4 linked regions of the Mus musculus genome follow. The protein of the gene in region 3 purifies or fractionates together with the protein of the main gene of each other region. This does not show direct contact. Links are inferred from orthologs where the notes say so. Each region holds a gene or a part of one and is shown on either strand. Other genes may lie near its edges.

The links. The genes of interacting proteins can lie anywhere in the genome.
Region 1: the proteins of Lgals1 (region 3) and Itga4 purify together in Homo sapiens (affinity purification with mass spectrometry; 3 studies listed by BioGRID and IntAct, with this or other methods). This does not show direct contact. The link is inferred for Mus musculus from reciprocal best matches to the Homo sapiens genes LGALS1 and ITGA4.
Region 2: the proteins of Lgals1 (region 3) and Met purify together in Homo sapiens (affinity purification with mass spectrometry; 3 studies listed by BioGRID and IntAct, with this or other methods). This does not show direct contact. The link is inferred for Mus musculus from reciprocal best matches to the Homo sapiens genes LGALS1 and MET.
Region 4: the proteins of Lgals1 (region 3) and Fn1 purify together in Homo sapiens (affinity purification with mass spectrometry; 3 studies listed by BioGRID and IntAct, with this or other methods). This does not show direct contact. The link is inferred for Mus musculus from reciprocal best matches to the Homo sapiens genes LGALS1 and FN1.

The regions. Positions count from the first base shown.
Region 1 is NC_000068.7:79,284,980-79,292,378, reverse strand, and holds part of Itga4 (integrin alpha-4 precursor), read right to left. Parts: intron 5,375-7,399; coding exon 5,280-5,374; intron 4,173-5,279; coding exon 4,082-4,172; intron 3,558-4,081; coding exon 3,512-3,557; intron 3,143-3,511; coding exon 2,988-3,142; intron 395-2,987; coding exon 240-394; intron 1-239. UniProt on the Homo sapiens protein: Integrins alpha-4/beta-1 (VLA-4) and alpha-4/beta-7 are receptors for fibronectin. They recognize one or more domains within the alternatively spliced CS-1 and CS-5 regions of fibronectin. They are also receptors for VCAM1.
Region 2 is NC_000072.6:17,532,011-17,539,409, reverse strand, and holds part of Met (hepatocyte growth factor receptor precursor), read right to left. Parts: intron 5,500-7,399; coding exon 5,397-5,499; intron 5,289-5,396; coding exon 5,152-5,288; intron 4,469-5,151; coding exon 4,307-4,468; coding exon of another isoform or gene 4,303-4,306; intron 3,573-4,302; coding exon 3,473-3,572; intron 3,007-3,472; exon of another isoform or gene 2,189-3,006; intron 1-2,188. UniProt on the Homo sapiens protein: Receptor tyrosine kinase that transduces signals from the extracellular matrix into the cytoplasm by binding to hepatocyte growth factor/HGF ligand. Regulates many physiological processes including proliferation, scattering, morphogenesis and survival.
Region 3 is NC_000081.6:78,922,980-78,931,178, reverse strand, and holds Lgals1 (galectin-1), read right to left. Parts: upstream 4,455-8,199; 5' UTR 4,384-4,454; coding exon 4,375-4,383; exon of another isoform or gene 4,232-4,374; intron 4,136-4,231; exon of another isoform or gene 3,210-4,135; coding exon 3,130-3,209; intron 1,547-3,129; coding exon 1,375-1,546; intron 1,182-1,374; coding exon 1,035-1,181; 3' UTR 714-1,034; downstream 1-713. UniProt on the Homo sapiens protein: Lectin that binds beta-galactoside and a wide array of complex carbohydrates. Plays a role in regulating apoptosis, cell proliferation and cell differentiation. Inhibits CD45 protein phosphatase activity and therefore the dephosphorylation of Lyn kinase.
Region 4 is NC_000067.6:71,640,782-71,648,180, reverse strand, and holds part of Fn1 (fibronectin isoform a precursor), read left to right. Parts: intron 1-34; coding exon 35-172; intron 173-2,478; coding exon 2,479-2,634; intron 2,635-5,029; coding exon 5,030-5,221; intron 5,222-6,049; coding exon 6,050-6,229; intron 6,230-6,852; coding exon 6,853-7,029; intron 7,030-7,399. UniProt on the Homo sapiens protein: Fibronectins bind cell surfaces and various compounds including collagen, fibrin, heparin, DNA, and actin. Fibronectins are involved in cell adhesion, cell motility, opsonization, wound healing, and maintenance of cell shape.

The DNA of each region.
Region 1 (7,399 bases), on a different chromosome or scaffold from region 3:
GGTAAAGGAGCACAGGGAATAGCAATCAGAGGAAGAGAAAGTCTCTGGATGCAAGGACACAGACAAATGTGATAGATGAAGATAAAGATACATCCAGAAATAGACTTTGCATCCTCCAGGTTGATGCTGCCTAATGTTTTAACCGGGACAGGAAGCTAACAGCCCATAAACACACAGTAACTTGCTGCCGCATGGACAATTGGGATGTCTGTATTTCATCGTTAAGTAGTTTCCCTTACCCGCATGAATGCCTGGTGTGTCCTACATTTCTCTCCACTGCTTGAAACTCGTATGCTTCCTGTAATCACGTCAGAAGTCCCATTAGAGAAGAAATAAAATCTTGACGGAGACTCTGCCTTCCTGTGCACATCCAAGCTCACATTGTAAAACAAAACTGCAAAAACAGAGAAAGCATCGTGATTAGCATCCATTCCTAAGGCACTGAGGTATTAGCAGTTACAAGTCAACCAGGAAGTTCCCTGAGTTCTTTCCTTGGATCAGTGTGAAGCAGATAAACTGAAGTATGAAAAAAGAAAGAAATAAAATATTCTTTAAAATTATATTTAATAAAATAAAAAATTATTAACTTATTTTCCAGTTATCTTTATTAACACCTTTAGTTATTTGCTTAATCTTTTCACATATAAGAATGAGAAAACCACACAAAAATCTTGGCTAACCGAACGAGTCTGTTTGTCTATGCATCAGCCAATGACAGAAGTGTGTCTAGAGCCGTGAGCTCCAGCATCTCTCAGGATGAATCTGTCTTGTACAATAGCTGACTTGTGTGGTGCATGCCTAATGTCTAATATAGTATGGGTCCCTTAATTTTGTGTTTCTTATTTGAAAGTTTGATATTTTATTTAATTTTCCTATATAAAATGAACAACCAGGTCAAAACCCAAAAATTTATAAAATGGCTTACTAAAAAAATACCTTCCTTTCAGTCCAATCACCAATTATTCATTCTTTGTGACTTTACTGCTCATGGTTTGACCCTCTAAAGTTAATCTAAAATGAAAATGAGAAGTATATAATCTTTCTCTCAAATATTCTAGTGGTTTAGGGGTGGTTAAAATCCGACATAGTTAATATTTAGCTGAAAAACAAGATCCTTGGATCAAAAAAGAAGAGGGGGATTTTAAAAGCCATAAAATCATCAAAGCAGATTATAGCTAGGAAGTAAGCCTCATTTCCTGACTCTAAAAGGGTTCTTTACAAAGTGACTTGAGAGCAGTCCTCCACTGAGTTGCCCTCACTGCACAGGAGTAATGATATCTAAGTAAATTTAAAAAAAAAATATATATATATATATATATATATAATTTCTGCAACATTCATTTACATCTGAAAAGAAACATACTTTTCTGAAGGTATTTTGCCCACAATGTATGCATCAAACTTGTTAGTCTTACATTCATTTTCAAATAAACCTTTCAACCATCATTTAATTTAGAAAATAAAGTCTAAATCAATTGAATTCAAAATTACAATAACTGTAATATAATTACCTAGAAAGCAAGAGAGAGTTGCAACTGAAGTAACCATTTTCAAATTTATCACCTGAGTCCAGAGCAAAGGTAAAGGAGGGACTACAAATGTATTCCCCTCAAGAGGCAGAACATAATGACCTCACCAAGCTACCATGTGGGTTATTCTTACCAGAGCCGCTTTCATAAGAACACTGTGATTATTTGTGTTTCATATATTCATTTTCAGACATTAAGAAACAGATCTAGTGCAAAGGAGTTGGAAGAACAAGGAGACAGCCGCATCCACTCTGTGTATCTTTCAGATAATCCATCCGCTTGTCTATGCTAATGTGTAATTCACTCTGGGGTCACACTCCCCAGGTGCCAATAACCAGATGAAGCTTTGCCCATCTTTTTATTACTTCAGCTTTGGCCAGGGCTTTTCAAGAGCATTATTAAAAAATGAGTCTCATAAAGTACAGATGCTGGGTTCATGCTGCCCATTACATAACAAAATTGCTCAGACTGGAACCTCTATTACACATCAAAAGTTTGGCTCCATAAGCAATTGGCAGCCTCTGTGATCTTTATATAACAGCAGCCTATTCAGTTGTTGCTCAATCAATTTCACAAGTGACTAATATCCAAACGATGATAACCCCAGGTAGAAGTATGACTTACTGGGGGCCATTTTCATTAGTAACTATTCTAAAGGCTGCTCTCTCTCTCTCTCTCTCTCTCTCTCTCTCTCTCTCTCTCTCTCTCTCTCTCTCTGTGTGTGTGTGTGTGTGTATGTGTGAAAGTTAGCATTAACTACCCTCTTGAATGATCCATATTAATGCTATATTCTCTATGGCAGTCAATTGAAGAGTTCCCTATAAATGGAAAAGGGGCACAGTTCTCAGAGCTGAGGGTGGCAGCATATTACATATACTAAATCCAGGTCCAGCCTCCAGAGAAGCATCTTTAATTATTCAAATATAACAGCATACACTTTAGATGAAGACCCTGTGCCTCTTACTCCTTCATACCTATGCTATGCTCCAGGTTTTACAAGCTCAGTAGCGTTGAGGGTGTAATTCAGTGATGTGACACCTACACAGCATCCCCAAGGCTCTATGTTCTTTCTCCATTTCTGTGGAAAAGGCAGTAGTAACAATAAAAACATTTCAAGAGGAGCCCTGTCAAGCAGGGGAGCTGTGGTGCCCTCGTTTGATTCTGAAGATTTCACAGGTTACACACAGAGGGTTCACCTTAAATTAACGCAGCAAGGGGTGGCCTTAGCTCCTCCTCTTGAGTTATGCACTAAACCTCCTTTGTGCCTCATATGCTGGCTAGAACAAATTGAGAACAACAACAACAAAAACAAGACAGACAAGAGGTGCATATCAAAAGATTGTTCCATTCTGCTCTAAAGAAATGTCAAATGCTCATGATAATGGATGATGAGGGCACACAATTGACTCCTGGATTACAGAATGAGTGTATGGTATTAGTTCTGTGGGCTGTGCTTACCGATGTAGCCTGGGACCTCTTTGCCTTTATATGAGAAACACAGTGTAAGATGCATGCACACAGATGGAAGTCCATTTTCAGTACAGTCAAACTTTGTCCTATTTACAGACTCAGGATGGCTTAAAGATGCTTCAACAATCACTACAGGCCTTGTCCTAAGAAGGCAATAAAATTATTAATATTAGTTATAGAATAATCTTACTGTAAAGACAGTAATTACATTTGTTCCCAACAAACAAGCAACGTCATTAAAATGCTTACTTAGTGGTATGTACATACATGCATGATTATATTTTGTGTACAGATTAAGAGAACTTTTCACTTAAATCTATAAAACCATTAGCTTTATCTGATGGTCTGTTTAATTATGTCTAAACAAGGTGAGAAAAAATATCCCAAAGTTTAATGATAGGACTCCAGGATACCAAAAGGAGCATCATCAAGGCCGTTGCTTTTAAAACCTGCCGCCCACACTCTACAATTAGGCCCAACTGTCATTAAGGAGTGACACACATCAACCTCACCTTAGCAACACTGCAGAATCAGATTGAAATGCACCAACGGCTACATCTGCAGAATAGTAATAATAATAAAAAAATAATAAATCAACAGGGTAGATTACCAATCACTATTAGTTAAAGAGAATAACCTTGCAGCAGCAAATACTAATCATCACATTTCAACTGTATCAAAATAGCATTTACAGAAACATAATTGGGAACGGCAAGCTCGCATCCTCAGATCCATTTCATGATATGTCTGAATCTACGCACCCAGAAGTAGCAGCAGCAATCGTTTTATAAGAAAGAAATGAAACGGGATGCTAGATGCTTGCAACAGGGCTGCCAAACAAAATATAAAGCTTTAAGCCGGAAGCATTCCTCCAGAAGGCGCCTTTCACGTCTTTCAAAACAGATATCTCCTTGCTTTTCATCACGTTTGATTGGTTTCTTACGTACTTCTTTTCTTTCTCAAGAACACAATTATGAGTAATCTGAAGTCCTTCACATTGGCTTTCTATGTTCACACTAAAGCAGCATCCCACAAAAAAATTTTTTTCCTTCCCAGACCTGAAAATGGACATATCTACTCACCAACATATCCATTGTTGTCTGCATCAATTTGTCCTGAGATAGATTGTCCAAACATCCTTAATGATTTGCTGATTTGCTGTCCTTCAATTCTCTAGGAAAAATAAAGGGGCTGTGTTGTGTAATCTTGTTGGGAATATCTAATATTTCCAAGATTTTACTTAGTTAAATAATGGATCTTCTCAGGCTTGTCTTAGCACACTGACCAAGAAAACACATTCTTACACTTTAAGAGATGTAAAATTTCCCACCTTTAAAAACACCTGAAATCTATTTTGTTACAAAAACTTTATGTTGTGAAAAAGGCAATATTTTATAGGATAATTTTTAGTGTTTCCAAAACAATTACTTATTTCTTGTCTTTGAATTTTTTCAAGTTCTGCTTTTACTTCCATAATCAACATTAATAAATAAACAGAGATTTTGAAAAATAAGATATCTATTACTCTTTATCATATATTACTATTCAGATGTCTGATGAAAACCTACTGGTTTCGACAGATTGCTCCTTTCCGTTCAAGAACACTCCACACCTCAGTCTGCTCCATCTATTTAATTTCATGTCCAAACACTGAATTAGAAATACATGGGTACTATTCACAGGAAGAAAAAAATCAGTCTTTGACTTGACATATACCTAACTTTTAAATTAAATTTAGAGGGTCACTTGCCTATTTTTGGTCACACCAAAATAATGTTAGCTAGCAAATCTCTGAAAAAAATCTTTCTTAGAATGTAGGTCTTTTTCTACACTGAAATATCTGGAGGTGTCAAGATATAGAATTGAAATGAGAGTTTTGTCATAAATTTGTATTAAGATATTATTAGTTTAACTATTATACTTAGAAAGAAACATGGTCTCATGAATGCATTTCACTCCCTGTGCTAGCTCTGTAAAGCATAAAGCTTTACCTGCGCTTGGTATCCAAGTGGGCAAAGTTGGGAAATAATGGCCATTGCCTCAAAAACACAGATGTGCTGTCACACATAAGGACAAGAAAAAAAATGGAATGGAACACTAGTGGCAATAAAGGGTTTAAAGAAAATTGTATTGAGAGTTAAAATAAGATCACATACCAATATTATGTGGTGAAATAAAAATGTTACATATTTGAGAGAGACAACAAGTCCACGTTACCAGACAAATACTGAGGGTACTTTAGTCTCTGATGTTCCTGTGCAAGTCTGAAGAGCATCTTACCTGTGAGTAGGTGGAGGAGATTCCATCGACTCGGCCATTGTAAATGTAGACAGCACCTCTCAAGTCGTCTTCTTGTGGTGCACCAATAGCAATATCTGTCGGATTTAAATCATGAAAATATTAAAACTCTTGATGCAAAGGATGAACTTGGAAAGCTAGCCTTCATGATTCTGAATGCATGTGTCATAATATGAAGACTCCCTCTATGTTTTAAATTAGATATTTTCTTCATTTACATTTCAAATGCTATCCCAAAAGTTCCCCAGACCCTCCTCCCCACCCCATTCCCCTACCCACCCACTTCCACTTCTTGGCCCTGGCATTCCCCTGTACTGAGGCATATAAAGTTTGCAAGACCACGGGGCCTCTCTTCCCAATGATGGCCGACTAGGCCATCTTCTGATACATATGCAGCTAGAGACACAAGCTCCAGAGGTACTGGTTAGTTCATATTGTTGTTCCACCTATAGGGTTGCAGACCCCTTTAGCTCCTTGGGTGCTTTCTCTAGCTCCTCCACTGGGGGCCCTGTGATCCATCCAATAGCTGACTGTGAGCATCCACTTCAAAACTCCCTCTTATAAGGAAATACAACCACTATGCCAGGAAAACAAAAAACAAAAAACTAACTACATGAGCTTCAAGATTATGCATAATATTTTGCGTATGGAAAATACCAGAGTGGGTGGTTTTGCAGCACACTCTGTCATAACGGATAAGCGTACGGGGGCTGCAAACATACCTCTTGACACCTCAGCTCTGTCGCTGTGCCCTGCTGCTCTGTATGTCCCCAGTGTTTATTCTATGTGTCTTGCTTCCCACTCATGGAATGAGAGCACACAAAGACAAATGTGCTTGGTATGAGAGGATGTAACACATCAAATGCATATAACAGCATCTGGCGTGTTATAATGGGAGACTGTATGACCACAGGAACCTTAGTTTTGAATCTCTAGACTTTTCTATTATAGTAAAATGGTTTCTGAATCCATTCTTCTTCCAGTAGTGGTAATTAGAGATACACACACATACAAATAGAATTTCAGAAAATGTCTTGTTTGTAAAATAATGACAGAATGAATTTATTGTGATTAATGTTGAATTTATGACACTGGGATTAAAACATGGAAAAAAACAACTCAAGAGTAACAAACATGCTGACTCATCTCATTGCTTAAGTGATGTAAATACATGTAACACGAAGAAGAAAATTAACATTCCATAGCTGCAAGAACATGTCATTGTTATACCACATGATGCTATGGAGGCATATTAATGCACTTAATAATATGCAGTGTTTTAATTATTTTAACTGATATCTGAAGAACAGAAAGTTTATTTTCATGATATTACTTATTGTCTCAATTTTTTCACAACTACAGTGGTAATTTTGACTGCTATTTAAGACAAACCATATTTTAATTATCAGTGGCAATATCAAGAAGATTCAATTCCAAGGCATGAAAATAAACATTAAAAACTTACTTTCTAAATTGTAGGAAGTTATTGCACTCTGGGAAACCATATACTCTCCTCTAACACATATTTATCCTATGTGTGCAGTTTCATGGGCCCAGTTAACTCCCAGTAGTAGGCTGAGAGCAGACAGGTGCAGAGGAAGGCATTTCTACTGCAAGCCTGATGTCTAGGGCAGGATGCATGGTTAAGACAGTGCCATTTATTAATCATGTAAATGCTTCAAGGTCAATTGGTGGATAGCCACTACTCTGCCCCTCACCAATGCTATGACTTTTGCTGGGTCCTTGCCAGATCCTAGAGCAAAGCAGCTCCAGACAGTACTCCAGGCATAGCAGGGGGCACCAGAACATGCTCCACTTTCACCTCCAGACTCAGTTGGGTTTGCTCAGTTTCTGGGCTGTACTGGTAGTTAAATATCATGCTCCAATGATATAGACACCTCATAATTTCTTTCTAATATCAGGATCATTTTTAAATAGTAAAATGATGGATATCAAGAGTTGATAAGCATCATTTTAGAGATGAGTAAAGAATGATGCTACTTATAATCAATGGTACCTTTAGAACCAATAAAAATGCTTTGAATAACCCCCTCTAATTAACTGTGATAAAGATTAATAACTGACATAACATTTTCAAAATC
Region 2 (7,399 bases), on a different chromosome or scaffold from region 3:
AAAACCAGCCACACAAAGTGGTATATTTAAAGTCAAAGGGCTGTGTTTCTCCCCCAAGGAAAAGACAAACAGGCAACAACATCCCTTAGATTTCCTTTTCTTTGACAAGTATAGTTGGAGATAAAACAATTACTTATGCTCACAATAGCAAAAGGCCTCAGGATATACATAAAAAGCACAGAATTTACTGTGTGATATTTTCTTCTTAATAATGTTAAAACAGACTGTATTTAAAAATGTATGTTGGAATCAGATAAAACAGAGATACTATATGGATAAAATATATTGCAATATTTAGTTTTATATCAAATATAATGTCATAGCACTGAGAGCTATTTATTCCTATGATCTTGTAAAGCGGAAATGAAAGATTTCACTGCTACCATAATAATTCTCTGTATAATAATAAGAACCTAGGAACCACAAAATAATTGGGACATAGCGCACATTAACACATTAATCTACATTGTGTTAAATTAATTATTTCTACATTTTAATGCACTGAGTTTACTGGAATTAAAAAAATATTGTGGTTGGATCAGACCATGAGTTTTTATTTGTTAAATAATAAATGCTTTCAATTCATCTTAATCAACTTTAAACTCTATAAGCCACAGGGAATGGGGAAGAGTTTAGAAATGACAGTAAATTAAGGAATAATGAAAAAGTAAATAGTAGAAAATCCCTTAAATTTCTCACTCCAGTCCAGTACTAATGCATAGAGTTACAGTATGCTGCATTTTTAACTCAAACAAGAGGAGTTTGTACTTCCAGATGTATAGACCATTAGGACTTTTTAAAAATCTTCTACCACTTTTTGAGTCTTTTCTAGGGTATGCCTCTTTTATATCTGACACTGAAGGCTTCAAGCAAGCATTTAATATGTCATCTTTGGGTAAGGGAGATGAAAGCAAGCTCAGCCATTATCGTAATAATGGAGGCTTGGTCTTCAGTAAATGAATCATTTCTTAGACCCAACTTTAAAAAGTCACATGCCAACACCAAAGAGGGTTACTGCTATTTTTATTTGGTTAAAGTAAAATCGTATCTTGGTTGTGGAGAAGTGACGGCTCCTAAATTAATAACGGTGGTATTCTAACTTTGTTTGTGGCCATGTATGGGGATTGGCTTTAAGGTCCTTAACTTCATGCTGTGACTCCCTGGAGCATCTTCTCTTGGAAATATGATAAGAATCTAATAACACTTGTTAGAGGTGATGCAATGTGGATGACTGAGAGGGTCAAGAGGAATCTCGTTTGAGATGACCTTAGTGTTTGGTGATTCGGCTTGACATTTTTAGTCCCAAATTGCTTTCTGTAATTAAGGACCAGAGTGGCTTTAGTCCTTGTGAAATATTGGATGGGGGAATTTCAAAGAAAGTGCTATAATTCAATCTACCACTTGCCCAATCGAACTTAGAGCCTTTACTTCAGGTTGAGTGCATGTGTCCAACTGATGTGTGGTATTTCACAGCAGAAAAATTCTATAACAAGACATTCACCATTCTGAGGTTTAGACTTAGATTATTGGTGTTTGTTTGTTTCGTTTTGTTTTTGAAATGGTCTATTTAGCCCTAGTCTGGACTGGAACTTGCTAGGTGGAGGAGGCCAACCCTACACTCTTGATCCTTCTGTCTCCATCTTCCAGATGCTGTTATTACTGACTCCCATGCTAGGCCTAATGTAAAACTGTTACAGCTACAGATGGATCCATCTCTGTTAAGGTTAAATTATGGTTGTGCTTTCAAATAAAAAAATGTAGAGAAATGAAAAATACCATTGAAATACTTGATAATAGTATTTTATTATCATCCCCTGTATGATAATAAAGAGACAAGGACCGAGGTAAGGAAGTGCAAGGAAAAGGTTTTGATCCATAGTTTGAGGGACACAGCAAGTGGAGCGGGTGCTGTGCTTTATATTATTACTTTAATCAAGGGGTGTGTAATTGTTGAACATTTCTTAATTTCATTAGTCAAAATCGTCTTTGATTATGTATGTGTTACAAGAAATACATCTATCTATAATATCTATACATATAATGCTTTTGTGTGCATAATTTAGTCCTATCTGGCTTATTGGCATCATGTAGAATAGGTTTAAAGAAAAGAAAAATACATAATTATGATTAAAAATAGTATTTATGCACCTCATTCATAAAAATGTCTATCCTATTTCTTTCACTTGAGAAACTCATTGCGGGGTGTGCTGATTAGGTTTGCACTGCTGTGACAAAGCTCCAGGGTCAAGATCAACGTGGGAGAAGAGGGTCTAACTCATCTCACAACTCTCAAACCACACTCCATCACCGAGGAACCTCAGGACAGGAACCCAACCACACTCCATCACCGAGGAACCTCAGGACAGGAACCCAACCACACTCCATCACCGAGGAACCTCAGGACAGGAACCCAACCACACTCCATCACCGAGGAACCTCAGGACAGGAACCCAACCACACTCCATCACCGAGGAACCTCAGGACAGGAACCCAACCACACTCCATCACCGAGGAACCTCAGGACAGGAACCCAACCACACTCCATCACCGAGGAACCTCAGGACAGGAACCCAACCACACTCCATCACCGAGGAACCTCAGGACAGGAACCCAACCACACTCCATCACCGAGGAACCTCAGGACAGGAACCCAACCACACTCCATCACCGAGGAACCTCAGGACAGGAACCCAACCACACTCCATCACCGAGGAACCTCAGGACAGGAACCCAACCACACTCCATCACCGAGGAACCTCAGGACAGGAACCCAACCACACTCCATCACCGAGGAACCTCAGGACAGGAACCCAACCACACTCCATCACCGAGGAACCTCAGGACAGGAACCCAACCACACTCCATCACCGAGGAACCTCAGGACAGGAACCCAACCACACTCCATCACCGAGGAACCTCAGGACAGGAACCCAACCACACTCCATCACCGAGGAACCTCAGGACAGGAACCCAACCACACTCCATCACCGAGGAACCTCAGGACAGGAACCCAAGGAAGGAGTATGGAAAGAGGAACTGCAGGGAAGACCATAGAGGAATTCTGTACACTGGCTTAGTCTCCAGGCTCATGCTAAACTACCTTTGCTATCCCTCCCTAGAGGACCTAGAACTCAGAGTGGACTGGTCCTTCCAACATCAATAATAATAAAAAATGGTCCCAGAGACTTGCTTGCAGGCCAGTCTGATGGAGGCACTTTCTCAGTTGTGAGTCCTTTTCCCACATGACCCTTTGCTTGTGACAAGTTTGTATATATATCAAAAAGTCTGAAAACTGCTTCATTGGTGTATAAACATGTGTGTATATGTATGTATGTTTACCATGTCAGGCCAAGATTCTACCACTGAATAAAAGTACCATTTGACCTCTGCTGCAGGTTACTAGACAAAGCCAAAATGTCCTTGTGCCCTAAAAGCTTGGCAGCATAGGCAGAATGACCACTCTAAGACTTACCACTGTGTAGTTCACACCCACTTCATGCACATCTATTACCAGCTTTGGGAGGCTAACCGAGTTCAGGGTCTTCCCAATACCCGTTATTGTGCTTCCACCACTGGTAAAACAAAATAGAAAACAGGAATATTCAGAGCGTTCCTACCAGCTGTGCAGAGGTTCAGTCTTATACACTCAGCTTTATCCTTACTATACTCTTATGATGTTAGAGGACTCGCTAGGATTGAATGAGAGTTCAGGGTTAACTCTTCTTTGGAAATTCGAGAATATTTAAAGAAAATTACATTTCATTAGCTGTAGAAATGGCTGAATTTTTACCGACTAAATGTGGAGAAGAAAAATGCTAGTGACTATTGTTGGTGGACTGATAGAACGAGCAAAGGTGGGAGAGAGGCTCTATAGATGCTGACTAAAACAGAGTCTGGTGCAGGGAAGAAATACGTATGTGTAAAGGGATCGCAAAATGCAACAAGAGGAGAGGGGAAAGGCGACCTGCAGCTCAGTATGGAACTGACACAGATGGAGACACTATATATGACATAGATGCATCTATACCATGGCACCAGGTTGAACTGTTTTTATCTAGGTGTTGAAAGCATAACAGGAAATGTATAATAGGAAGAACTGCTCTTGACAGGAAGTAACATCGATAAAGTCAGACTGTCCCAAGGACTGGAATACAATTTCCCACTAAATTGGAAAGGTGCCTTCAAAAGAAACACAGCAGCGTTTAAATAAATGAGGGATTAAAAATGTGATAGCCCTTGGGTGTTCCTCAGCCAAATGATCCTTCTGCTTTTGCTTTTCTTCTACCCACCAGAAGCTTTTACTTACCTAATAAAAGATTTGGTCGGGTGGATTTCATAGACAACGGGGTCTTCCCGGTAACTGAAGCTGCTGGTCTCTCGGTTAGCCAAGTCAATCTTCAATTTCACAGGAAACTCATCAGAGGTAGTTTGGGCTGGGGTGTAGCATTCAAGAATACTATCTGATACACTGAGCAGCAAACAGACACAAAAGACCAGAAAGAAAGGAAGGAAAAGAATAAAGAGCAGATATTAGTTATTAGTGATATACATATTCCAAAATTACATCTGTAAGTCAAAAAAATGTAACTCAGTGGAATTTCCAGAGGTGGCCTAGGAGAAAAGCTCTCCCCACTGTAGCTTGTTTACATCCAACTAGATCCCACGCTTAGCCTTGTTGAAAGGCCATCCGTGACTTCAAAACATTTGGTGGTTCAAGCAAGCTTCAAAGTACATTTGGTACTTGAATAAACTTAGCTCCTTCAACTCTAAGAAGGAGAAACAGAACTACCTTTCAAACCTAACCTCACCCATTTTGTCCCACCACATATCTTCTTTATATTTGAATCTTGATAGAAATGCTCATTTTGATGTACTACCAATGACCAGAGCTTTAAGTTCACCGTATAGCTCAGATAAGACTCACCAAAATAAAGGAGTGGGTAGCAAGTCAAAACTCAGAATGGGGATTAATCAGTAAAAAGGGAAGGATAGAAAAATTAGCAAAAGGAAGCAGATGGATTTTGGACAGAGAGAATCATTAGTGGGAGAGAATCACGGAAAACATCTATATTGTGCTCCGCACAAACGCAAAAGAGCTTGGCTGGGCAAGTATTAAACACAGATATTAATAAACAACAATATTTACAATACCTTTTTAAAGTACATGTTTTCCCTCCAATTGAAATGTGTCTAGAATTGCCACTGTTGAGGTATTTCCCAGTAAGAGTGAGTAAGGTGCCTCCAGCCTGAGGGCCGTACCTCGGAGAAATGCTTGTTATTACAGGATCCTGAATGGGCAGCAAAACCAAAGAGGGACTGGTTACTTGCATCCTTTAAGCAGATGACAGAAAAGCCAAATGTCCTAGGTCATGAAGAAAAGCCCTGCTTGAACTTACTACATAGGAGAATGCACTGTATTGCGTCGTCTCTCGACTGTTTGAGATAATTACAGACACATTGAAGTGCTCACTCATCGCGGGACCAACTGTGCATTTCAACCTGAAAAAAAAAAGGCAGAGCTTAATATGTTTCAAATCCACAGGCATTTTCTGATTTTCTGGTTTGGCTGCTTGTTGTGATGGGATATTAAACCCCAAATTGTGAGCTCATGACTCCAAATAGCAAGCTCAGTTTCATGGAAGCATGAAGGCTGAAACATCACGTAATTCTATTTTTCGAATACTTACTTATGCCAAACTTTATATCGACTGTTGTAGGAAGCTTCATGTCACCCATGCAAACTCACCAGCTAAGAAGTGTATGCTAACCTAACCTGTAAAGTTATGCGCTTGGTTGCTTGGTACATGTAACATCATGGCTGCTATGTCAGCAGCCTATGAAGCAATCAGTATTCCAGCTATGAATAAGCCAGCTCTTTATCAGTTTATGCCAACAACTCTATTTCTATGACTGTTGTTGTCATAAATTTATTTAAACCACTTAAAGGCTAATGCAACTGTAACAGTTTTCTTCCATAGAATTATTATGGCTGTGTCATGTTGGGGGCACAAGTATGCATATAGAAGCCAGAAACCAACCTTGGGTGTTATTTCTCAGGGGCTATCTACTTGGTTTTGAGATGAGCTCTCTCTCTGGGACCTGGAGGTCGCTGATTAGGCTAGAGTGGCTGGCCAGAAAGCTCCAGGGGTCTTCCCGCATCTGACTCTCCAGTGCTAGATTACTAAGGAGCATCACCACACTCAACCTTTAATTTGGGTGTGGGGTATTGAACTTCGGTCCTTATACTTGATTGACAAGCACATTAGCAACCACGGCATCTCCTTAGCTACCAATGGTAGCATTTTAATCAGTAATCTTATATAGTTTATATATATATATATATATATATATATATATATATGTATGTATGTATATATGTATATATATATATATGTATGTATATATGTATATATAGTTTAAATATAATTTGTTTTTTAAATAAGTTACTTCTAAAAAGAGTTAATGAATTGTCTTTTTCTTTATAGATCTTAATTCACTTCGTAATAATTAAGAGTTTGAGAGAACAAGGAATGTTTCTAGAGTGAACTTGCTTTTGTCTTTGGCCTAGCAAGCTTGATATTAACTGGTTTTGGTTACTATATTAAGGTCTTCTATGATGTCTCTGAATGAAATCTATATTAGATATATTTACTTTTTTTTTTTGGTGTTTTTGAGACAGGATTTCTCTGTATAGCCCTGGCTGTCTTGGAACTCACTTTGTAGATCAGGCTGGCCTCGAACTCAGAAATCCGCCTGCCTCTGCCTCCTGAGTGCTGGGATTAAAGGCATGCGCCACCACGCCTGGCTAGATATATTTACTTTATAGAACAGATTCAACCACAATGATTCAACTGTTAAAACTTTGGTTGTTGCTCCTGCACTATAACAAATAATCTCTGGGCTACCTGGTTACTGTGGCATCTAGGGATTGTAGAAGGGATATGAAGAATATAGGAGAATAAGGTCTTGATCAGAGAGCAGCAGCTCTGGTCTCTGGCTTAGCTCAGGTAGGCTGTACCCCAGCTCTTTTAATGTTAGGCAAGAATGGAACTGACTCCTCCGAAGATTTGGGGGATGCCCAGATGGCAGGGTACCAATGAATATGACCTGAAAATAAGTTCATCTAAAAAGTCTTAAAACTGTTCGATTTGATTGATGGCGTCACCATTGTTCCAAGGACTAGCAGGTGAATCATGAACAGAGGACAGACAGACAGCTGTTTATTGATGTTCATGAGAGACCTTTGGGGCAGTGTTTGAAGTCTGAAGGGAAAGGTCCATTCTTTCATATTGAACAGGCAATTTCTGCAGAGTTTTTACTTTAGTAGTTTCAAATCTCCTAGATGCTGGCCTAGCAGGATGGAAGAGCAGTTACCACACATGACTAATGGTCTGAATTT
Region 3 (8,199 bases):
GAAGACCTGCGTCTGGGCCCTCCCATCAGCCTTCCCACCCCACTCCTCATCTTATGTCTCTGAAAGGGCCCACTCAGAATCCCCAATCACATTACAGGAGTGTGACCTCATGCCAGATTCCCATTGTTAGGGAGGGGACCTGTTGAGTGCCACAGAGTTAGCGCCTTCTAGCCTAGTCCTCTAGCTGCCCACTGATTCCAGGAGGGTAAGCCTGCTTCCTCTGGGCTCAACTGCTAAGGGATCATTTTGTCCCTCAGAGACTGTTTCCTCCCTACGCATTTTGCATTTGCAGGCATAAAAAGTTAGTAGTGTAAGGAAGACCAGAAGCTACCCAAATGGCATTGGTCATGACGTACCCACAGCAGAACTTGGAGTCCTCCACCAAAATCTCATTTAACTCCACAACAACCCTCATGAGAACTGAATATTATCCCTCATGCATAAAACGATAAACTAAGGCTCAGAGAGACCAGCTAACAAGCACAAGGCTATACAACAGTTTTTAGTCCTTACCTATATGAGGTCATACTATATTGCCGAGCTAGTCCTAAGTGGTCCTCTTGCTTCAGTCTCCTAAGAAGTTAGTGGTATAGGACTATAAAGCTAGCCCAAGCTGTCTCCACTATGTCGCCCAGGCTATCCAGACTGCTCTGGAACACATGCCGATGTGCCTGGTCTAGCCTCCTTAATTTCAAGTATGTGTCATCATGCTCAGTGGTTTCTGGCTTTTATTAAGACAAATGCGGTCCGGCTGTTCATCCATCCACCTCCCACTGCTCTGTCCCTGTCACAGTGGGACACTGGCTCACCCTCTGTGGTCACTTAAGCCCTCTCTGTGCTGGGCTCTCTTTGGCCTGGAAAGCACAAGAGAGGTCACTGAGACCAAGAACACATGGAGGCATGAATGGAAGTGAAGATGGACCAGGTTGGGCGGGGCCCCTCACATAGACACACACAAACACTCTCCCATGAAAGGGCTGGATTATGGGGAGCAGAGGCAGCTGCCTTTATTGAGGGCTACAGGCTGGCTGGCTTCACTCAAAGGCCACGCACTTAATCTTGAAGTCTCCATCCGCCGCCATGTAGTTGATGGCCTCCATGTTGAGGCGGTTGGGGAACTTGAATTCATGTCCGTCTGGCAGCTTGATGGTCAGGTCAGCCTGGTCAAAGGTGATGCACACCTGGTGGATGGAGAAGGGCAGTGAGCTGGGCCTTGGACCAGCTCAGAGCCCCGGGGACAGGTTCTGTATAGGTGAGGTCTATTATGTTGAGAGAGTGATGCCATTCAAGGGTAATCACACAGCAGGGAATGGTCAGCCTCTGGCTCTGACCATATTGCCCAGCACACCCAGGGCCCTGCCCAGCGCCACCCACCTCTGTGATGCTCCCGGGCTGGAAGGGGAAGGCAGGTTCCCGGTGTTCGGTTCCCCAGGTCCCATCTTCCTTGGTGTTACACACAATGGTGTTGGCGTCTCCATGGGCATTGAAGCGAGGATTGAAGTGTAGGCACAGGTTGTTGCTGTCTTTTCCCAGGTTCAGCACAAAGCTAGGGGGGGGGGGGACAGGTGGGCTTTCAGCCATGTTGGATGGTGCTAGACCCCAGCTCACTGAGAAAATGCAACATCAGCAGCTGGCTATGGACATGCCATGTTGAAACTCAAGCAACAGGAAGGCCAGGAACTTCGATTCTACTTCTGGTCTCACCATGTGAACTGAGCTAGACCCTGCAGATTCTCTCTGACTGTACAGTGGTGGTGGTGGTGGTGGTGGTGGTGGTGTGTGTGTGCGCACTAGGGGAGCTCTCTCCCAGACATTGATAGTTGTCAACCCCTTTGGTCAAGAGGGGAGATTCTCCAGATGGTGTCCTATCTGTCTTGTGTATCTGAGTCCCTGGTGCCGAGTACAGCGCAGGGCACACCATAGATTTTCCCTCACTGTGGAGAAGAAGCGTAAATAAGAATACGGAGTTTGAGCCTTTAATCCCAGCACTCGGGAGGCAAAGGCAGGCGGATTTCTGAGTTCGAGGCCAGCCTGGTCTACAAAGTGAGTTCCAGGACAGCCAGGGCTATACAGAGAAACCCTGTCTTGAAAAACCAAAAAAAAAAAAAAAAAAAAATGGAGTTTGGCTGGCTGTGGTGGTGCACGCCTTTAATCCCAGCACTTGGGAGGCAGAGGCAGGTGGATTTCTGAGTTCGAGGCCAGCCTGGTCTACAAAGTGAGTTCCAGGACAGCCAGGACTATACAGAGAAACCCTGTCTTGAAAAACCAAAAAAACAAACAAACTAACAAAAAGAATACGGAGTTTGTTGCACGGAGCCTGGTAGCGGTGTTCACCGTGGAGGTATGGTAGGAAGAGGCGAAAGGGCTCAGGAACTTACTAACAACAGACAACAGACAGCAGCAGCTGCCTGCTTGATGGAACTGGCCCTGGCTCTCTCCCCTCCACCACTTTCCCTCTGGCTTTATTAGGAACCCCAGGCTCTTAGGGGTGTGGAATATGGAAGTACACACTTTCTATCCCAGCTCTGGGGAGACGAGACATGTGGGTCTTCGTGGAGGCCAGCCTGGTCAACACAGATTCCATGCTAGCCAGGGCTATATAAGGAGACCCTGTCTTCGGAGAAGAAAAGAAAAGAAAAAAAAAAGTCGAGGCCTCGTGAGCTTGGGTGACTGGTCCAAACTCACATGGCTGCTGGGGGCGGGGGGGGGGGGGCGGTGGGGCGGTATGAATGAGGAGGAAGCTCTGGAAAAAAGATTGAGCCCCTGCAGGGCACCCTCAGGCAGCAGGCACGTGGGTGACCACTCCCTCAACGCCTCTCCCCCGCTCCCTCGCGCCACCCCCGCCCCCCCCCCCGCGGAAGGGGAGGGGCAAGCCGGAGTCGTTGAAGCAGCAGCTGCTTTAGTTTAAGAAACTTCAGCCGGGAGAAAGGAGGCGGGAGGGAGGGGGAGACCACGGCGACGTCGACTAGACCCAGCGAGGAAGTGACTCACCCAGAAAACGCAGCATCTGCAGCTGCCCGTTAACCAGCTGCGGGCTGGGGAATGAGCGGTTCCGGCCGGCCACGCCCATCGCAACCTAAATCTGCGAACCTGGCCCCCTGCCCGCTCCATTCTTTTCTCCAGTCTCACCTCTTGGCGTCCGAGGCCACCTCTCCCCGAACTTTGAGACATTCCCCAGGTTTGAGATTCAGGTTGCTGGCGACCAGACCCTGTGTAGACAAGAGCACCGAGCTGTGTTTAGGTTGGAGTTAGACCTACCTGCATTGGGCTGGGGTGTAGGGATGGGGTCATTCCCACCCTGGAGTACCCTGACCAGCCCTAGGGGAAGCCCGAGGTGGGATGGGCTGGTCAGGATAGGGTGTAAGTTGATGGGGAACGACTTCATTCCCAGCAGGGTGTCAAACTTGTGACTGTCCTACAGAACAAGCCCTAAAAGACATCAGCTTGGAGACCTGGACTTAGAGTGGAGGGGAGATGGAGTGTGACTTCCTAAATCCTCATTTTGCTGATGGAAGGATTAGGCGACCACTAGCCTAAGGCCTTGCTTCTCTGAGATAGAGAAAACAGCCTTTGCCTCCCCAATCGGCTTCAAGGCTCTCTGCTTAGATGCACACCATCGGGAGGGAGCGGAGAGGCTGAGGGGCGGTGGGACTGGGCAGCCCGAGAGTGGCAATGTGGACTTAGCACGCTAGAGAGCCCAGTACATATCAGGGCACTGCTGTGCACCTACCTGGGTGAGTTGACAGGAGTTCATTTGGGCAAGGGGTTTCTTTGACATTTGAACCCTATACCTGAGGGCTTGCCTGTCTGTGCAAATGCATGCAGTTTCCTCCGCCCAGCCCTGACCCGCCTCCACTGACCAGCCTGGAGCCTATCTTAGGCCCGGGAGGGTTTTTTTTTTTTTTTTTTTAGTTTTCTGGAGCAGAGGGTGACCAACTGAGCCCTGGCCCTGTGACTGGGGACAGCTGCAGCGGGGGAGGGGTCAGGAGACTCTAGAGTGGAGAGGAAGAGTGAACAGGGAATGGCCTTGGCCAAAATGTCCCCCTGCCTCCCTTTTCCCCGGGTGGCCACACCCTTCCCACTCCCACTTCTCAGAAAACGGCAAAGCAGCAGAATACTGGACTTTGCAAGGCAGGTATGCGGCCAGAACTACGAGAAGTCCAGAACATTCTTAAGCCAGAGACGCTTAAGGTTTCAGGGGGGAACAGTGACAGCCACCCCCATTTTACAGATGTAGCCACTGAGGACCAGAGAAAACACCTGTCCAAGGCAGCACAGCTGGGACCAGAAGCAAGTCCCCAATTGTCTACTCTCCTGTGCCCATCTGCTTCTGCTCAGTCCCCTAGACCTTGGAACAGAGGGTCCCGCACTCACACAGGCCATGATTGAAGCTGAAGCGAAGAGATTCCTGAGACCTGCTCCACCAGCAGTCAGAAGACTCCACCCGAGAGACGGGCCCCAGGCCCGCTCCGACCTTTTTAACTGGATCAGACCCGGTGAGTCCCGCCCCTCCCCGGGAGTTCAGCCAATTGCATGTCAGGACAAGGATGGGGGCCACCAGAAGTGGAGTCTATGGATTATAAAGTCAATTTTGGAGCAGAGGTGACCAGTCAGAGAGGAGACCCCCCCTCCTAGCCCCTCCCTCAGGGTCCTGGCGCCGCCTCTTATTCTTCTCCATCCCTCTTTCCACTAAAAAAAGATTTGTGCTGTGGCAGAGATTGGGGGAGCCAATGGAAAATAGTTTAAGGATGAGTTAAACCTAAGAGTTGGCGGGATAGGGCCTGGGGCCAGCAGGGAGAAAGCCCCTAGGTCCCAGCGCAGCTGGTGGGGGAGGGGGATGTGTGTATAGATGCCTGCAGAGAATTAGAGCAAGGCTCTCTGAAGAGGCTGCCGCCTGGCAGGCCAGGGTGTGGCTCTCGCTGTGACTCCCACTGTGGGCTTCTGCGGGAGGACTGAGGAGGACCACAAAGCACAGGCCCCACCAGGGCTTTCCCCGGAAGCAGAGGACTGTGGCTACGGCTCAGTGCAGCTCACTAGGGCTAAAGAAAGCCTGGGCTGGGCGCCAGGCCTGAGGCTGGTGTCCTTGGCTCATACCTTGGACTTCACCCCACTGCAGGGCCTGCAGAGAGTTCTGAGTGCCTTGGCTGTGACATCCCCGGGGCCTGAGAGGCAAGCCTCGGGGCAGTCCAGGGTGTGCCAGATGTGCCCCCTTGGTCTCATTCCCACTTTTAGAGAAGAGACTTGGCCATCCCTTCCCATTCATTTAGCAGTTATTTTCCTGAGCCCCTACTGTGTGTCTAGCTCCGTGCTGGCCTCAGAGGGCATGAAGATGAGCCCCTCCCAGGCCCTGCTCTCAGAATTCACGGTTTGGATAGAATGTGACTATGCGTTGAATTAAGAAATAACACCGCACTGGCACTGAGCAGGGCAAACACTCACCATGGTGGGGTAGAGACTGACATATGAAGCAGGGATTTGAAAGGACCCAGCATTCCAACTGGGCAAAGGCTTGGAGATGAGAAGCCCGTGCCTGGGGAACGAGCTGCTTACCATGTAGGAGAAAGCTGGGCGTTAAAGATCATGAAGGGTCTTGTGGGCCAGGTAAAGGGTTTCAGTGTCTTTTACCTGAGGGTCTTGGGGAGCTACAGAGGGTCATGGGGTGACATGAGAGACTTAGGGAGGTTCACTGAGCAGAGCGGAGGGTGTGTGATAATACAGGCACTTCAAAGCTGCTCTTGCCAAAAAGCCTGGATTCCTCCCGTGCCCTGGAAGGTTACTGAAAGGGTGAGTCTGCCCTCTCTGCCTTTGTCTTTGTATCTCTGTCTCCTTCCTTTGGCTCAGGCTCTCGCTTCCCTCCGCCTTCCTGACCTGACCATCACCCTTCTAAGCCAAAGGCACGAAGACTAGTCACTGTCTCAAAAATGCCGAGCCAAGCCTTGCAGGACAACCCCTCCCCCACCGGAGTGTTCCTGAGGTAACTGCACACCCGGGAGAAGGAGTGACCCTCTCCCTAGAACTTACACATCCCCTTAAGCAATATGACTTCTTTAAGCCATCGTACAGAGCCAGTCAGTCAGCCCAGGTATGCATACCTCTTGTTATCTGTGCTGATTCTTTCAATATTTAAACTTAAACTACATGGTGGCTCATGCCTGTAACACCAGCACTTGGGAAAATGAGGCAGGAGGATTAGGAATTCTCATCTGCTACATGAGACCCTGGCTAAAAAACAAAAAACAAAAAAAAAACAAAAACAAAAAACAAAACAAAAAACAAAACAACAACAAAAAACAAAAAACGGGCAGTGGCGGTGCATGCCTTTAATCCCAGCACTTGGGAGGCAGAGGCAGGTGGATTTCTGAGTTCGAGGCCAGCCTGGTCTACAGAGTGAGTTCCGGGACAGCCAGGGCTACACAGAGAAACCCTGTCTCGGAAAACAAAAACAAAAACACAAAAACAAAAAAACAAATTAGCAGCTATCCAGGCAGTGGTGGTACACACCTCTGACCCCAGCATTCAGGATGTAGACAGAGGCAGCTCTCTGTGAGTTCAAAGACAGTCTGGCTTACAGATTGAAGTTCCTGGATAGTCAGGAGTACAGAGAGAAACCCTGTCTTAAAAACCAAACCAAACCAAACCAAACCAAACCAAACCAAACCAAACCAACCAAATAACCAAACAAAAATTAGCAGCTAAAACAGCAACAACGGCCTCTCCAAAAGCCAACTCACATTAGTACCCCAAAACAAACTTGGGGTTACTGAGACTCTTGATCTGTTCCCTTTCCCAGTGTGGCCACATTGAATAAATCCTTTTGTGTTTGTTAACCTGATGTCCCCTTAGCCTCTTTTTAGGCAGGAGTCTTACGCAGTACAGCCCGGCCTCAAGCTTGCTGGGCTAAGGCTGACCTTAAACCTCTGACCCCCCTGCTCCTGCCTCTCAAGTTCTGGGATTTCAGGCCTGTGACAACTGACTTGTTGGGGATTAAACCAGACCTTCACTCGTGCTAAGTGAGCATTCTACCAACTAGTTATCTCTTTAATTGGTGTAGAGGCCCAGCTCCATTGGTTGGCTGCCAGAGCCCCCTCTCCTGCCCTAAAACCTCTGGTTAGTTAGAGGGGTATTTGGCTCACGCTGGGAATCAGGTGTCGGGGCAACAGGGGGTCCGTGTAGCCGTTCCCCTTCCGAAGCTACCATCTTGGAAGAGTTGTGACGATAAGGGGTCATTGAGTCACATCTGGAGGCCAGGCCAGCAATCCTCTTGCCCTACCCAGCCTCTTCCTCCCAGGCTCATCTCTAGCTCCTCCCTCCAGATGTGGAAAGCCCACCCAGGATGTGAGGAGAGGGAAACCCGCAGGGCACAGGGGAGATGCTATCACATCTGGAGTGAGGTTGGCCTGCCCCATCATCTCCAGCCCCGCCCTCAAGTCACCACCAGAGAACCCAACCGCAGCAGCTTCAATCTTTCCTCTGAGGCCTCCCCAGACTTCAGTTACAGGGCGGGACTGTTGGGGCCCTGGCCGGTTAGTTCCTCTACTATTCCAACTGTGTGTGCCCCTCTCCCACATCAGGAACAGGACAAAGACATCAGGCAGAGTTCCAGGTAGAAGACCAGAGATGAGGCAGTCAATTGCCAGGCAAATCCACGGGCTGGGAGCTCAGGGCTCTGGGAGCTGTTCCTGCCAGGTCATGACTGGAATAGAAGACCTACACCAGGAAGTGTGTGTGTGTGCACTTCTCTGTAGGTGCTGTCTGAGCAGGCCGGCCATGGAAGAGCATGGTATAAGGACTAGTCTCCTGACCATGGCCTGGAGATTCTGGTTTATGCTTCCAACCCTGTTTACCTGTTTATTCATTTTCTCCATTTGCAACTGTACGTGTGAAGTCCCTCTTTCCTTCCTGAGGGTCACGTAAGGTGGGACTCAGGTCTGTGGCTCTTCATAGGTGACCTTTGCCTTGAGACAGTCCTGCTCTGTAGCCCGGGCTGGTTTGGAGTTCGAAGCAGTCCTGCCTGGGATAACAGGTATGAGTTCACCATACCTAGCTGAGCTCAAGATTTACAGTCTCCTTGTCGCCTCTTCCAAGGTTACCTTCCCTGGTGTTTGGCAGACCCTCTTCTGGTCCTCTCCCACCCGAGCTGTGGTATGGATTTGCCAGATGCCAATAGCCCCTGTAACCGGCACTATGGTTTTTAAGGCA
Region 4 (7,399 bases), on a different chromosome or scaffold from region 3:
CTCCTTTCTTTTTGCTTTCCCATTTCTTCTCCAGCTGAGAAGTGTTTTGATCATGCTGCTGGGACGTCCTACGTCGTGGGGGAGACCTGGGAAAAGCCCTACCAAGGCTGGATGATGGTGGACTGTACTTGTCTAGGCGAAGGCAATGGACGCATCACCTGTACCTCCAGAAGTAGGTTTAGCTCTTTTCTGTTGACAATGCAGCCCACTGTTGCTTCTGGATCCCTAGAGAGAGTTGTGATGCCTTGGTGACTCTGTGGTATCATAAGATGTCCAGAAAAACTGTATAACCATCACCTTCTGCTTCTTCAGAGGACACTCAATAACTAGGAAAGGCAGTTCTCAGTTCAACCCTGCCTTAGGCAGTCAGCTAGTAAAAATGAAAAGAGCCTTAGTGGTATTCGCTTGCTGGATGGGTCTTCCTTGATCTGGGAATTATCTCAGAGATACCTTTCTGGTACCGAGGACAATTAAATCCCTAAAGTAGCATGTAAATGAATCCTTTGACCTGGGGGAGCGATTGGAAATAAAAGGCTCTACCCCATGTTCGGATTTCCTTCTATGTTTGAAGTTTAAATAAGGTTTACTGACTCTAAACAAGAACCTAGTGGAAATGAGTCCGTGCCCAGTATTATCCTTCAAATAGGAAAGTGGAATGAATTTCTGTGTGTTGTTTGTTCATCGATTGGGCAGAGAGACTGTTAAATTATAACCCATCCTTGCTCTTACGCTACAATGTGGGCAGTAAGGGTCTAACTTTGTGACTTAAATATTGCTGCATTTGCAGTGTCAGGAAAAAAAAATCAACCATTGATTCAGGCAAATGCATAGACACACAAGAACAGAGGTCCAAGACCCCAGCTAACAGTGTTGTCAAACCTGAACCTGTTTTCAGTATCTTTGAATCAGTATCTCTTGAAACTCCTAATGCTGAGCTTTGTAAGTGATTAATACATGAGCCTTCCTCATCTTTGACCTACTAAGTGTTCTCTGAAGGCTGATGCCCAGTTCGTATTTCCCTCCCCATATTGCCACATACAAAGTAAGTACTTATAAAATTTTGTTGATCACATGCTATTTGTTTGAGAAACTTTGCATGCTGTCAGAAGGGTTTTAAATGATAGGTAAGAGTCTGAATTAGATTTCTTTCTACATGTGTTTATTTTGTGTGTGGAGGTGGGAGGCACACACGCCACAGTGTGCATGTGGAGGGCAAAGGACAGTTTGGACCGCGCAGGGTGCAGTGACCTCAGGTTGTCAGGTTTGGTGGCAAGGTTCTTTACTCACTAAGCCAGCTCAGTGGCTCAGAATTAGATGTCTAATTTGTCTTCAATGAAAATACTGCCACAAACGACTTGGAAGACTGAAGCTCATCACAGTTTTAAATCAAAAGATCTAAGGATCCTATAAGTTTGGGGGAAACATTTGATCTTTTTCCATGACTTATTTTTGTGTGGCAAAGAATTTGAACTTGGGTGGTATTTTTAATTACTAGTTTAAGCTGGATAAACAAAACACATTCAAGATATCTAGATTTGACTTTTTTTTTTTTTGCATGCGTTTTAAAATTCATGCTTCAGCAAATTCCAAGGCTGTTGTTAGTTTGAAATTCTAAATGGAACTTTGAAGGCAGAAGCAGCAATTAAGACTTCAAGACAATCTTAGAAGCGGGAGGGAAGAAGGATGCCTGGGGCCAGCTTTTTACAAGGATAATAAGAGACAGCATCCTTAACTCCAGAAGAGACCTTTTAACCGTGGGATAAGCCATTTTGTCGTTGCTATTGGTTATTGTCACTGTTATTATTACAATTACTATTATACAGGGAGGATTCTCATAAGCCCAGGCTGGCCTAGAACTTACTGTGTTGCTGAGAGAGACCTTGGGCTCTTAACACTCCTGCTCCTACCTCCCAGACGCTGGGGTTAACCACGTGGGTGACTTTGTAATTGTAAAACAGGTGGTTTTGGGTGGGGCAAGAAAAGAGAACCTTCTAGCCAGAGAAGTTGTTTTTCCACAGGAATACTTTTACATAACAAGTGGAGAGATTGGTGTGGTTAACTTTTTAGCTTCCCTGGGGCAGTCGGAAGAGACCTGCCTCCTTATTGTTTATTGAAAGGAGGGCCATGGGCTGTAATTACAGAAAAAGGTCTGGAAGACACTGAGGAGTAAAGAGTAGATTGCCAGATAATTAATTGAGTCAAAGAACCAATGTAGAAAATCTTAATTTTTTTTAATCAATAAAAGACACTGAATAGTATTTTTTCTTTTTTTCCTTTGGCAAATGGAGAGGTAGGGCTGTACTGTAACGAACCGGGTATCTGAATTTTAATATATGCATCACCAGCACTGGGTAGGATGTACTAACACCAACAACAGCCACTCAGAAGCATTCAACTGCAGCATTCCCATCTTAGTGTGGATGGCTGCGTGTCGGTTACTAGATAACTTCTATATTCAATGCTTCTCTCCTGAAACAGACAGATGCAACGATCAGGACACCCGGACATCCTATAGGATTGGAGACACGTGGAGCAAGAAGGACAACCGAGGAAACCTGCTTCAGTGTGTCTGCACAGGCAATGGCAGAGGGGAGTGGAAGTGTGAGCGACATGCTCTACAAAGTGCTTCAGCCGGTGAGGCGCTGGGACCGGGGACAGCTCCACGCCAGGGTGATTTATAGCGTTTCAGCTAAGAAGCTGGAATCGTTCACATAACTGTTTAAAAATATTCATTCTATATTGTGAACAAAGTTGAGTGGAATGAAGTTGAGACGTGCCTTTAGCACAGAGGGCTGGGTTGGAAAGCATAGTGTACTCTGGTCATGGCTCTATTAGTATAGGCTTTGGCTTATGAGCATGAGACTCAGAGTTCAGTCTAGAACCAAAGTAAATATCCAAGTGTGATGGTGTTATCCCAGCACCAAGAAGGTGGAGGCAGGAGGATACCTGGGGATTACAGACCAGCCAGCTTACACTACTTTGGAAGTGTGGGGGTGGTTCCAGGTTAGTGAGATGGTGTGGCTGGCCAGCCCACTTTTCTTGGGGGAGTTGGGGGAAGTTGTGTTCTAGGTTTGTGAAAGATGGTGTCATAGAAAACAAGATGGCTCTGGGCATAATCCCTGCCTTCTACATGCACAAGCTCTCCACACGCATGCGCACATAGATAATGTGCATGCACCCTCCCTCACATGGACAAGCAATAGTGAGTGAATGTGTGGTATGTACTTGGAATCCTCAAGCCCTGGGTTCAGTTCCCAGCACCCTCCCAAAACACCCCAATAATTATTATATAAATTTAAAAGAATAACTAAAACAAAGAAAGGTATTTGTATGTATCTTGGATGCTTGGTCAGAGTCTGAGGAAGGGGTCGGAGCACTTGCCAACCATGCGCAAAGCCCTGGTTCTGGTTCCCCATCACTAAATAAAAGGAGGGTGTGTTGTGCCTGCGATTCCAGGGATCAGGAAGTAGAGGGACGGAGGATCAGAAGTCCAGAGTCAGCCTTGGCTACGTAGTGAGTTCTAGTCAAACCTGCTCAATGTGGCTCAGTGGGTAAGAGCACCCAACTGCTCTTCCGAAGGTCCAGAGTTCAAATCCCAGCAACCACATGGTGGCTCACAACCACCCGTAACGAGATCTGACGCCCTCTTCTGGTGTGTCTGAAGACAGCTATGGTGTACTTACATGTAATAAATAAATAAATCTTTAAAAAAAAATAAAAAAAAAAAAAGATGCTGTCTCTCATGCACACACACATCGGAAGAAGGAAGTGCAGCTCTTGTGGGTGGTACCTTCCCGCTATTGCGCTCTGGGTTTCCATCTAGCTTTTACTGTGTGATAGTCCAGCCTTGTTACTTAGCCTCTTAGCAGTCAGTCATTCAGGCAATAGTAATTAGATTTTTTTCCCCTTTTGACGAGTTTATCTGGACCTAATTAATCCTTGTGAAAGCAAACAAGGTTACATTTGATGATCTCTACATTATCCAATTATCATCGATAAAAACAGCTATTGGCCATAAGGCAGAGGAAGAACAGTTACGAATGTCAGTCGACTGAACTACATGAAGGATTAACTGAGCTAACTGGGATTAAACAATACGTGTTAACTATTTTTATGGCATCACTAATATACCGAGGTGTTTCACTATTAAAGGGTTTGAGAAACACTGTTAAACGAAACAACCTCTTCTAGGAGGGCCTTGCCGTCCTTCTGTATGGTGGGCCTTGACACCATTGGCGTCCTCTGTCTGAGTTCTCTTTGGGTATTTGTGCTCGTCAGCGCTGGGGGAAGAGGCTAGATTCATTCTAGAAGCTCTTCCGCTGCCATACGGACTCTGACCTTCAAAAGCCAGATTTCTAAAAGAGAAGCTAGCACAATCTGTTGTGTTAACTATCCGAGGAAACTTGTGAGGATTGGTTGCTTCTAGGAAAACAAACAGACATCCTAAGGAATTCTGCTGAGCACCGACACCCAGGAAGAGGGATAACTTAGGAAATCCGTAGCTCTCCAGGGTGTCCTCCTGAGAGCCAAGTTTTAGAGAAGGCAGGATATCCCCTGTGGGTCTTCAGGGGTCTCTCAGGAAGAGGAAAGGCCACACACAGAGCATATGAGAGCTATGAGGGAAGACAGGCAAGGCAGACCATTTCAGATGAGTGGGGAGCCATAGGGAGAAGGCAGGAGCATGGTACCCAGGAATGATGAGCAGCTCAGTGGGTTGAAGCTTAGAACAGGGCAGGGAAGGCTAGCAGCCAGGCGGGAGGGGAGAGTGGTAGAGGGGTGTGGAGCTCACAGATGGATCGCTTCCTAGCGTGACTGAAGGTTTGTGAAAGATAACCTGTTGTGTTGTGCGGCAGGATAATGTTGTCGCTTAGATGTGCTGTTCAGGTGTGGCTCCGATGAGGATTATATGAGGAGTCTTGTGAACCACTTCTTGGGCTGAGTGCGGAAGTTCCGGGTCAAGCCAAGAAGACTCTGGACTCATTGACTTCTCCCTTCCAGTTTTATAACTTTTTCATTCTCCTGCCCTTAGGATCTGGCTCCTTCACTGATGTCCGAACAGCTATTTACCAACCGCAGACTCACCCCCAGCCCGCTCCCTACGGCCACTGTGTCACCGACAGTGGTGTGGTCTACTCTGTGGGAATGCAGTGGCTGAAGTCGCAAGGAAACAAGCAAATGCTGTGCACGTGCCTGGGCAATGGCGTCAGCTGCCAGGAGACAGGTAGGCACCATCTGCCCACGGATGCCAGAGGACCTACATTCAGTGTCTGCAGTATCTTAGCTGTTCGTAAAAAAAAATGTAAAACCATAAATCCAGAAAAGTTTATAATCCTGTGATAAAAATCATAGTAGCTGACATTTTCTTCTCTGGTCTTTTTTTTTTTTTTTGGTTTTTTGAGACAGGGTTTCTCTGTGTATCCCTGGCTGTGGCCTTGAACTCAGAAATCCCCCTGCCTCTGCTTCCTGAATGCTGGGATTAAAGGCGTGTGCCACCACGCCCGGCTCTTCTCTAGTATTATAACTTGTATATTTTCTTCCTATCATGAGGATCAAACTGCTTTGTAGTATCTGTATTTGCCGAAAGGGATGCTGCAAGAACACCATTTTTTTCCTGTTTGTTTTTGTTTTTTCTCAACTAGCCAATAATCTGTACTCTGAGTTCAATTTGGAATTATAGATGTCTTTTAGCAGCACATGGCCTCTTCTGGGTCAAACATGCTCTCTTTTATAATTGTTTTTCTAGAGCAGCCATATATACTGTTTCTTCTGAGAATGTAAGCAAGCATGTATCGCTCTGTGCCGTCTTCAAATCATAATAATTTGTATTAATAAAGCTTTACAAGTGGGGAAACTGAGTCACGGTAGCAGAAGTGTCTCCCAAAGACATTAAAAGGAGAACTCTGGCTCACCCTTAACCAGCTGACTAGACTTTTCATCTTGGCCCTTTAGTAGCACAGTTTCCATTTAAATTAGAAATTTGTCACCACTGGGGTCAGAGGTGAGGGTGGGAAACAACTGTACTGACTGAGACTCTTGGTTATGCTTGTAGCCGTGACCCAGACTTATGGTGGCAATTCAAACGGGGAGCCCTGTGTCCTCCCGTTCACCTACAACGGTAGGACCTTCTATTCCTGCACCACCGAAGGGCGGCAAGACGGACATCTGTGGTGTAGCACAACTTCCAATTACGAACAAGACCAGAAGTATTCCTTCTGCACAGACCATGCGGGTGAGTGTCCTGGGAGGAACCAGAGAGGGCGGTCGTCTGTCTGTCCTTGCCGTGCACACCCTTCTGTGTGCCAGCAGTCAGTCAGTCATTCCGAGGCTGCACGGGAACTATAGCTTTGATCTATTTGAACCCACAGCTAATCCCTTAGCAGAGGCAGGCAGTTTCCATGTCCCTTAGCGCCACTGGGGAAATGTCACTGAGGGAAAAGCCCTATGGTTTGATTATTTCGACACATGGGGATTATGATGTGATTAAAGACACTCAAGTATTGAAATCAGTGGATGATCCCACAGAGCCGATGAACACACAGGATAAATGTCAAGGGTGCCGGTACTTATCTTCTGTGTAGAGTCGAATTTTACACAAAGCTATCATTTAATCTTTTTTTTCCCCCCTTGGCTGGGAAAATGAGAAAACATGAGATTTAAATCTATTTTGAAAGTGAAGATGAAAATCCACTAAGAAGCTTAGGGCTGTATTATCAGATATCTTTTTATTTGTGGATAGGCCCTCTGGGACTTAACAGCCGGAACCTGGCTCTGTCTAAGCCTGCGGTAGTCTCTCCTTGTCGTACACAACACAGCTCAGCTGTAATCTTCGGGTTTGTGTGTTGTCTTGGGCAGTTTTGGTTCAGACTCGAGGCGGAAATTCCAATGGTGCTCTGTGCCACTTCCCCTTCCTGTACAACAACCGGAATTACACCGACTGTACTTCTGAGGGTCGCAGGGACAACATGAAATGGTGCGGCACCACCCAGAACTACGATGCCGATCAGAAGTTTGGATTCTGCCCAATGGCTGGTAAGAGGAAGCCCTGTGAGTTATGGGTGTGGACCCGCTAGCAGCCTGTTGATGGTCTGGGAGAGTACGATGTGCATCTATGTATTATATCTTACATTTGCAAATTGAGAAAACTGTCAATGGCAATGTATTCTGGCAAATACAGAGCTGTCCTCATTTTACCTGGATACAGAAAGAGGAATCAGGGATTGCTTATTGTTTTTAAGTTTCGAGAGTCCGGTAGAAGACATCTTTTCCAGTTGTAGAACCAATAGCCTGAGGGTCATGGAGAGTCATGTGCTCAGACGCAAGGAAACTACACTTTTTGTTTTTCTCATTTCAACAGAAGATGACATTGGGTTTAAGAGGGACAGTCACTTTTACCTGGGAT